Linked DNA regions of Ovis aries. The protein of the gene in region 1 interacts with the protein of each later gene in a biochemical or structural test. Links are inferred from orthologs where the notes say so. Each region holds a gene or a part of one and is shown in the gene's direction. Other genes may lie near its edges.

What was found.
Region 2: the proteins of BCL2L1 (region 1) and PMAIP1 interact in a biophysical measurement, tested with the Homo sapiens proteins (3 studies listed by BioGRID and IntAct, with this or other methods). The link is inferred for Ovis aries from reciprocal best matches to the Homo sapiens genes BCL2L1 and PMAIP1.

The regions. Positions count from the first base shown.
Region 1 is NC_056066.1:60,936,936-60,941,524, reverse strand, and holds the start of BCL2L1 (bcl-2-like protein 1), read left to right. Parts: upstream 1-1,519; 5' UTR 1,520-1,559; coding exon 1,560-2,123; intron 2,124-4,589. UniProt on the Homo sapiens protein: Potent inhibitor of cell death. Inhibits activation of caspases. Appears to regulate cell death by blocking the voltage-dependent anion channel (VDAC) by binding to it and preventing the release of the caspase activator, CYC1, from the mitochondrial membrane.
Region 2 is NC_056076.1:59,079,177-59,083,634, forward strand, and holds the start of PMAIP1 (phorbol-12-myristate-13-acetate-induced protein 1), read left to right. Parts: upstream 1-1,642; 5' UTR 1,643-1,804; coding exon 1,805-1,862; intron 1,863-4,265; coding exon 4,266-4,372; 3' UTR 4,373-4,458. UniProt on the Homo sapiens protein: Promotes activation of caspases and apoptosis. Promotes mitochondrial membrane changes and efflux of apoptogenic proteins from the mitochondria. Contributes to p53/TP53-dependent apoptosis after radiation exposure. Promotes proteasomal degradation of MCL1.

The DNA.
Region 1 (4,589 bases):
GGCCCCCCACGGCTCCCGGGGCTCGCAGGTGAGAGCGCCGCCTCCCCTGTGCGTGGCAGGCGCTGCGCCCAATGGGAGCCCTCGCCGTTCTGCTTCCGTGCTACCTGAGCTCATTGATTGGCTACGCCGGGGCGGGCCGCCGGGGGCGAGACCCCACCTCCCAGAAAGGTCTAGGGGGCGCCCCTGAGGGAGAGCGGTTGCCTAGCAACGGGGCGGTGGCCAGGCGGGTACCCGGCCTAGCGCGCGGAGGAAGCCGCGAGGCCGCAGCCCACCCACCCCGGCCTCTAGAGAGGTGCAACCCCGGGCCCCTAAGCTCCCGGGGGTGCCAAGAAGCCAGCCTGGGCCTGTCCCCAGGAAAACGTAGTCTCAGCTGTGGGGGGTCTCGAGCAGGCCTCGACCCTTGTCTCTGACCGGTGGAGAGGCTCGGCGCCTCACCCTCGCCCGGTCTTTGTGCAGGGCGCCGGCGGCCATTGTGTCCGTGCGGGGAATGGAGGACCCGGCAATCCCCCACTGCCACCGCCACTACCAGGGCCTTTGGGGAATTCAAAGAAAGCCAGCGGCGTTTCTGGGGGGTCTCCGGCTTTCAGCCTCCCAGAAAGGCCCGGGGATGGCCTTTCCAAACTCAGACCGCAGATCCAAGGCAGTGTTCCCCTCCCTCTGTTTCTCATCGAAACCTTGAGCCCCATCGAGAAGTCCCTTCAAGGTTTCTTCGGAAGCCTCACCCAGGGCTGATACTGAAATAGAAAAAAAAAAAAAAAAAAACTAAAGCTCACACCAGCCACCTCCGAGAGAGTTCTCCTAGCTCCCAGTAGGAGGCGGAGAGCCAAGGGGCGTGCAAGAGCGAGGGGGCTGGGCTCCCGGGTGGCAGGAGGCCGCGGCAGCGGCCGCCCTCGATCGGGGCGATGGAGGAGGAAGCAAGCGAGGGGGCCGGTTCTTGAGCTTCGTAATTCCTGTGTCGCCTCCTGAGCTCTCAGTTCGCCGGGTCGCATGATCCCTCCAGCCGGAGCTGCTTTTTTTGCCAGCCGCCGCCGCGAGGCCGGTTGACTTACCGGCATCCCCGCTGCCACCTCCTCTCCCACCTATGATACAAAAGATCTTCCGGGGGCTGCACCTGCCTGCCGTCGCCTGAGACGGATTTGAATGTAGGTGGTGAGGGTTTATGGGGGTGGGGGGCAGACTGCCCATGGGGGTGACTTTTCGAGGAAGACATTTCAGAGAAAAGGGGGTGGCTGGGATAAAAGGGGAGGAAAAAAAGGCCGGTGTGATGATTCAGAGCCCACTGGTGCTTTCAAATTGACTTCATCGAAGTACCTGGGAAGCTAGACCCATATCTTCATAAGAGCGGCAGAGAACCCAGTTCAAGTACCTGGAGTGGGGAATGGGATATTGTAGGTAAATGGCTTGCATATTCATTTTTTCCCCCCTGAAGCTCTTTCTTTCCCTTCAGAACCTTGTCTTGCCTTTGGATCTTCGAAGAGAACCACTAAGCAGAGACCAGACCCAGTGAGTGAGCAGGTGTTTTGGACAATGGACTGGTGGAGCCCATCCTTATTATAAAAATGTCTCAGAGCAACCGGGAGCTGGTGGTTGACTTTCTCTCTTACAAGCTTTCCCAGAAAGGATACAGCTGGAGTCAGTTTAGTGATGTGGAAGAGAACAGAACTGAGGCCCCAGAAGGGACAGAATCAGATATGGAAACCCCCAGTGCCATCAATGGCAACCCATCTTGGCACCTGGCGGATAGCCCTGCGGTGAATGGAGCCACCGGCCACAGCAGAAGCTTGGATGCCCGGGAAGTGATCCCCATGGCAGCGGTGAAGCAAGCCCTGAGGGAGGCAGGCGATGAGTTTGAACTGAGGTACCGACGGGCATTCAGCGACCTGACGTCCCAGCTCCACATCACCCCAGGGACAGCATATCAGAGCTTTGAACAGGTAGTGAATGAACTCTTCCGGGACGGGGTGAACTGGGGTCGCATTGTGGCCTTTTTCTCCTTCGGTGGGGCACTGTGCGTGGAAAGCGTAGACAAGGAGATGCAGGTATTGGTGAGTCGGATCGCAACTTGGATGGCTACTTACCTGAATGACCACCTAGAGCCTTGGATCCAGGAGAACGGCGGCTGGGTAAGAACCACGCCCCTTATGTATTCCTTTTCCTTGGCTTCTGGTCAAATCCCCAACAACCTTTCCCCTGTGTCTGTTGTGCTGGGTGATTATTATTGTTTGTTAAGGAGACATAACTGGCCTCTTTGTATCACAGAGGTTAACTTCTGAAATACAGATGACCTAGTTCTGTGAGGACCAGACATCTTCATTCTGGTCTTCCTCGTGACCCTACTCTGTCATACTTGTGTTCCAGTTTCTCTGCAGAAGATAACATAGCCTGTGTGTTCATTTGGCCCCAAACCTTTGAGAATGCAAAGGTAACAGGTTACCCCTCACCCTGACATAATGGCTCACAACGTTAAGGGGTGATGAGTGGAATGCCTGGAGAAGATAGTGAATATCAGTGACCCACCAGCCCCTTCAGTCTTACTCCCTTGAGCTGTCAATCCTGTCCTGGGCTTCCCTCCTCCAAATCAGGTTCCCCTTATTTCAGAGTTTGCATGGCCTGGCTTTGCATCCCTCTGGATGGCTGAGGATTGTCTGATTTTAGGTTGTAAGCTGCGCCAATGGGCCAGTTGTGTTTGTGCTGTGCCCCATATTTATTGGCTCTAAAGTATGCGACTTTTCTGTGTGGTTGGCCAGTTTGCGGAGCGCTTGCTGTCAGCCCAGGGACTTTGCACCTCACTGCCTGGGTTGGTTGGGGAGCTCCAGCTGTTATGCTTGTCACTTTTCTGCCATGGCCCTGGGGCCTCTTCACTGAGCACTGTTTGCTGGCAATGCAAGAACCTGATCTTTGGGGCTCCTTGGGACATTGAGATTCAGTGACAGACTTCAGAAACAAACTGACACAGATGTGAGTCCCAGCCCTGTCACTTAACTAGGTGTGTGACCTTGGACAGGCCAGTTTACCTTGAGCCTCAGGTTCTTCCACTAAAAAAATGTGGCCAACCCTCTTGCCTTGCAGTCCTTGTAAATCTTGGAGCTGATGTGAGCATAGTGACAGGAAGTTTGCTCTAGTAGTTACTGTCAGATCCAGGTACACCTTCTGAAACTGAGTCGTGCCTCATTCCTTTGCCAGGGAAGAGAATTCCCTTGCCCTGATATCACCAAGTCAGGATGAGCTGGTGTGGAGGGATTCTTTACCTGTGGTCACTGTCAGCAGCTTTTGCTCTCTTGCAGTGAACTCAGTCATATCTCCTCGCTTATCTCCCTGCCTCAGGGAGGTGTAGGGCTTAAGAGAGGTATTCATTCTGTCCTTCAGAAAATTGAGCAGGCTGTGGAAAATAAGTCATCTATTGAAGGAGCTGAGGTGGAAAGGGCCACGCACCATGGACTCAGGAATGTTAAGAATGCAATTATCCAGAGGCTGGGCCTAGGGTGTGGCAGCCACTTCAGTTTACCACTGAGCAAGGGACCTCCAGGTACACCACCCCCTGTCTTATTTCCCATTTCTTTGCAACTTCATCAACTCTTCCCACTGCCAGTTCTTATAAAGAGCAGAGTAGAGGTCAGATGACCGGGGTGGGGCTGGGAAGGTAAAGGTGGAGGGCTTTCTTTGGCTCAGACTGACCCAACTTGAAAGCCTTTCAGTAAATGAACTCCCTGGGGGAATAAATGATTAAATAGTTCCTGTTGGTTTGTGTGATGACCTCTCTTTTTCCCTCCTGCTTTGATTTTCTTTAGGGGCAAATATTTGTTTAACTTACTACAGGAGGGACAGGATTCCAGCGTTTCTGACACACCCTCTGAGGCCTAAGTAGAGACTTGGGCCATTTGCCCCTCACTGTTATCTCTGGCTGGTGGTCCTAATTCCATGTGGGTTGTGGCCAACTGTTAACAAAAGGCAACATGGGAGAGGTTCCTGGCCTGCCAGCCAGTTGTCTAAGAGGGCCACCTGGACCAGAGAGTTGTTAGTCACCCAGTGTTGCGTGTGGAAAGAGGTCTTTGACACAGCAACACTGGGCAAGATCATTAGATCACCACTGGATTGACATTCCATCTTCTGCTGTCTCTTTGCCCAACAGCATACCATGTGTTACTTCCTCTTGGTGGACAGAGGGGATGTGTGCAGAAGAGCCAGTTATATCAGAACCGTTTCTGGGCACGTGTTCTTCCCGAGGCCAGGAGATAGAGAACATGTGACACTGGGATCCTTTGGGTAGAAGGTGCCGCCCACTTCCTCTCGGGGACCATTCTGTTTGAGCTGCACACTGGCTGCTGCAGTGGCATCTCATAACCTTCCTGGAGGCTGTGCCTGGGGGATCCATGAATGTAAGAATTACGGACCATTCCACTCGGATATGCTCTAAATTTAGCATCCTGGCAGGAAAGGAAAAGGAAATGTGCTTTTACGGAGTATATCTTATGCGTGAGGCATTGTAGTAGGTCTTTTACTTATGCAGCCAAAATTCACTGAGCATCTTCTGTGAAGCAGGCATGTGCTGGGTATTGGCTATAAGCCAGATATGGTACTTTATCTCATGG
Region 2 (4,458 bases), on another chromosome or scaffold:
CTAGCCCGCTCCTGCACTTTCGCACAAAGAATCCTGGGTTGACAAGAGTTAATGATTTCCCAAAGGCTGCCAGAAATCTGAGCTTTTAACGCAATCTCTCAGTTTTTAAATGCTGGTAACTAATTCGAATGTTCGCAAGACCAGTACTGTGAACCAAACCGAAAACTTCTAGGGAGTCTCGCAGCTCTAAGCAACCAATTTGCAACCTCTGCATTATATAGATAATAAAAGATATATATATATATATATATATATAGAGAGAGAGAGAGAGAGAGAGAGAGAGAAGGGCTTCCCCGGTGGCTCAGCCGTGTAAAGAATCTGCCTGCAATGCAGGAGCTACAGGAGACACAGGTTGGATCCCTGGGGCAGGAAGATCCTCTGGAGGAGGGCATGGCAACCCACTCCAGTTTTCTTGCCTGGAGAATTCCATGGACTGGACAGAGGATCTTGGTGGGCTACAGTCCATGGGGTCGCAGAGTCGGACACGACTGAAGCGACTTGCACGCACGCACATACATAAAGAACACTTATTTTCTAAGAAACTGTGATTCCTGGGAAGGCCGCAGATGCGGGTAAGACGTCCTGCTCGGGATGGTGCTGCCTGGGTTCAGACCCCCTCCTCTGCTCGCGGCCTGTGTGAGCTCAGCTCACTTCATCTTTATAAACCTTCAGTTTTCGCACCCGGAAAGTAGCCACAATGGTGAGAATGTCCGCTTGGTTGGGTTGTTCCGAGGACAGGATGAGAAAGTGTCTTCGGAAGCCCTCAGAGCCAAATTCACAGGATCTGTTCTCTAGTACGAGTGACTGCTTCTCTTTATAATAATGGAATTATTCCCGGGCCAGCCAAACATCGGGCAAATACGTATTCCCAAATGCCTCATTTCTCCCCCCCCCCCCCCCCGGGGGAGCTTTTGAAAGCTGTCTACATGATGACCTACTATTTTTTGGTGTTGTTTTATTAAAGCGTCTGGAAGGAGGTATGAGACCGACCCGTAGGGAATACACTCTGCTTTTAGAACCACTGTCCTCACCCGGCGGCAGAGAACAGCCACTTCCCTTCACCCGCTTTCCTTCCCCCCACCCCCTCAACGCATTTTCCAAACCCAAACAGGGTTTCCTCTCTTGCTCCAGGCTTTTAGTTGGCAGTGAGCTTCCCAACCAGTTTCAGTTTCATTTAAGCTTCCGGCAGCTTCTCTACTGTAATTAAGTGTTCTCATTTTTCTCTGAAAACGTCCCGTACTCCTCGAGTTTGAATACTGTCCTTTCCCGAACCCTTCAGGGGTTTGTTTACGAGAGTCTGCGACTGCCCGTTTATGATAGGGATGACGCTCCAGGCCTCCCCATCTCCAGCCGTTCGCGAGGACAACCCTTCCCGGTTCGCAGCTCAGAGACCCAGCCACGCCTGCAGCCAAGTCCTCGGTCCAGGAAGTAGCTGCGGGGCCGGGTCAGGCTCCCTCCCCCGCTGCGCCCGGCTCGCCCCACGCCGCCTGGGTCCCCGCCCTGGCGGCGCCGGGCCCGAGCCGGGGGCGGGGCCGGGGGCGTTGCGGGCCCAGGGCGGGGCGGGGCATGGGCGGGGCCCGCTGTGGGTTTCGCTACGTCACCGGGAAGTCCCCATACGACCCGAGCGCGCGCTGCAGCGATCGCAGAGCTGCGAGGTTCTTGCAGGCGCCGGTTCAGTTTTTTCCTGCTCTGTGCAGACCGTCGTCTCCTGCCCGTTCTCCCCTTGCAGCCCGCGTCCTGCAGACCCGAGGTGCTCGGGTTGCATCGCTGAGTTGCCCCGGTCTGCCGACAGCCGTCTGCAGAGATGCCTGGAAGGAGGGCTCGTAGGAGCGCCCAGCCGAGCCCCACGCGGGTCCCGGCAGGTAAGGAGAGCTGGGGCCCGCGGAGATCCTGGCCGGGAAGGGGGTCTGGGTCGCGGTCTCGGTCTGGCAGGGGCAGCCCGTCGCCCCGGGGCCTAAGAGCCCGGCGGGACCCGCGCCGTGGCACGTGTTTTAGGGGCGCCTCCGGGACGCTATTCGCGGGTTTAACCCGGGGCGGTGGGGATGGCGAGGGAAGGGGTGAGCCTTGCGATGGGGATGCTGCTGCGTTTGAGCGGCGGCCGAAAGCCTCCTCTCCTTCGCCTGCCTTCCGTCCGCGCTCGCCCTCCCCGGGGCCACGCGGAGAAAAGTCATGGTCACGGCCCGGGGGCTCCGCTGGCGCTCAGCGCTTCCGGAGACAGGCCCTTTTCCTCCGGGGTCCAGCACCTTTTGAGGACCCTTCTGTGTGTCTGACCGCTGTCCCCAGCCCCAGCACCAACAATAACGCTTGATGCCATCACAGTTCTGCAAAGGACGGATGGAGGGCTAAGGAAGCCCCGAAAGGACCAACGACGTCAGAAGCCTGGAAGGCCTGGCTTCTTCGTTAAAAGCATAACATTTTAACAGTCGGTATTAATCACAGAAATGCCATAGAGAAAAACAGGAGATGGTCCACAGTGTTGTTTAATCCATCCCTTCCTCCGCCCTTCCCCATCCATGTAGCCCCATTAAGTAACTTCAGGTCAGCTCTCCTCCTCCCCGCTTTTATAAATCTTATCAAATAAGGCAGACATCTGCTAAGGAGCAGTAGCAAGGAAGTAAGACCGTGGGCTGGAAATCCGTGTGGGTCACACTGCTGTTGCATCAGACAGTGTTGGGCCCCTTTTACACTTAATTTTATGGAGCCCCTGGGGCGTGCAAAGGCAGTGGTGCATAGCCAGTGTGGCCGTGGCTAAGTTGGCACAAGGCTGCTCTCTGGCTCCTGCTTCGGAGGGAAGAAGCTTTGTCCATCTTTTGTGATGTCCAAGAGTTCTGGCTGTGTTGCAAGAATTGCATAACCTTCACGGTCCAACTTGGCCCCCCTTAATAAGGGACAGCAAAAAGGTCCCTCTTAAACTTGATTAGATGGTAAGACAAAAAAATTGAGATGTAAGTGAGGTAGAACACTGTCTTAGTTTTAGGTGTACAGCCTAATGATTTGATATATGTATCAATTGTGACATTATTACTGTAACAACTTTAGTTAACATCCATCACCACACATAGTTATGTTTTTAATTGATACATTTATAGATGTAATAAAAAGATTAAGGAAACAACTAGGTGCCATTTTCTTTTTTTTTTTTTGATGAAAGGGATAATTTTTTGTTACAATTCAGGTCTTTCAAAACGGTAGGCTGAACGATAATTGTTTTTTTAGCATTGTGTTAGTATTTCTAACTAAATACCCAGCTCTTGTAAAAAGAGAATTTGGTTATTTTGAGCCTAAATAGGGAATTTGCAGGGACTGTTTACAAAGTAAATCAGTTTTTAATTTGTAGTCATAATGGGTTTTAGTGATCATGAACATGGTATTGAAATGTACGAAAAAGAAGCTGAATTGCTTTTTGAACTATCCAAGAAAATCGTAATTATGGTCAGTATTGGTTTGGTGTTGATTTCACTTACTTTAAAAGTTTACTTAGAAATTAGATTATAAATATTACTTTCACCTTATATTCAGTTTATTACAGTATCTTAATCTTAAAAAATAGTAAACATGTGAACTAAACATTATTTGTTTTTTGCTTCACTCATTTCCATAGAGGCAGTGGATTGGTACAGAGTGGGAAGAACTTGTTTTAAAATGTTAAGTTATTTTAGAAAATAGGGACTTAATTTTAGAATAAGCTGTTATGAGTCTTTCATGAGAAAACTTGAAAGAGTTGTTTAAATAATTATATGAGGGCACAATCAGAACTATGAATTATTGCCATTTACAAAATGAGCTGTACTTGAAAATAACATAAAAGAATTTAACTTTTCTTTCCCTAGCCAATCTTAAGTGAGAAAGAAAAGGATGAGATCACCTGAGGCTGTGAAACTCACTCACTCTTTGTGGTGTATGACATAAATGTCTATATTTGAAAGTAAGATAACATTACTTCATCCAGGATGCTCAAAAAAAAAAAAAATCACAAGTTAAATGTCTTTATTTTTGTTTAATTATTTCTTATATATATATTTGTTTAATTATTTATATTTGTTTAATTATTTAATTATGTTGTTTATGAGTCACTATATGTTAGTGTATGTCGTGTGTGTATAAGTTGCTTTTCTTTCTTTACATTCAGAAAACAAGTGTATATGAAGTTAAGATAATGCTTTATGGCGTAAATACTCAACTTGTCCTTGGAATGGGCCTATTAACTCTTGCTGGTTGCAGTTTGCAATGTCAGTGTAACTTTGATATTTTGCTTTCCTTTTCAGATCCTGAAGTTGAGTGTGCCATTCAGTTGAGGAGAATTGGAGACAAACTGAATTTCCGGCAGAAACTTGTGAATCTGATAGCCAAACTCCTCCGCTCAGGAACTTGACTTAAGAAGCGTTCGAATGAGGAGACTCCTTTCAAAGGAAGATTTCCCATTAGGTGCAAATTTCATCAATTAGAGGAGAGACTGCC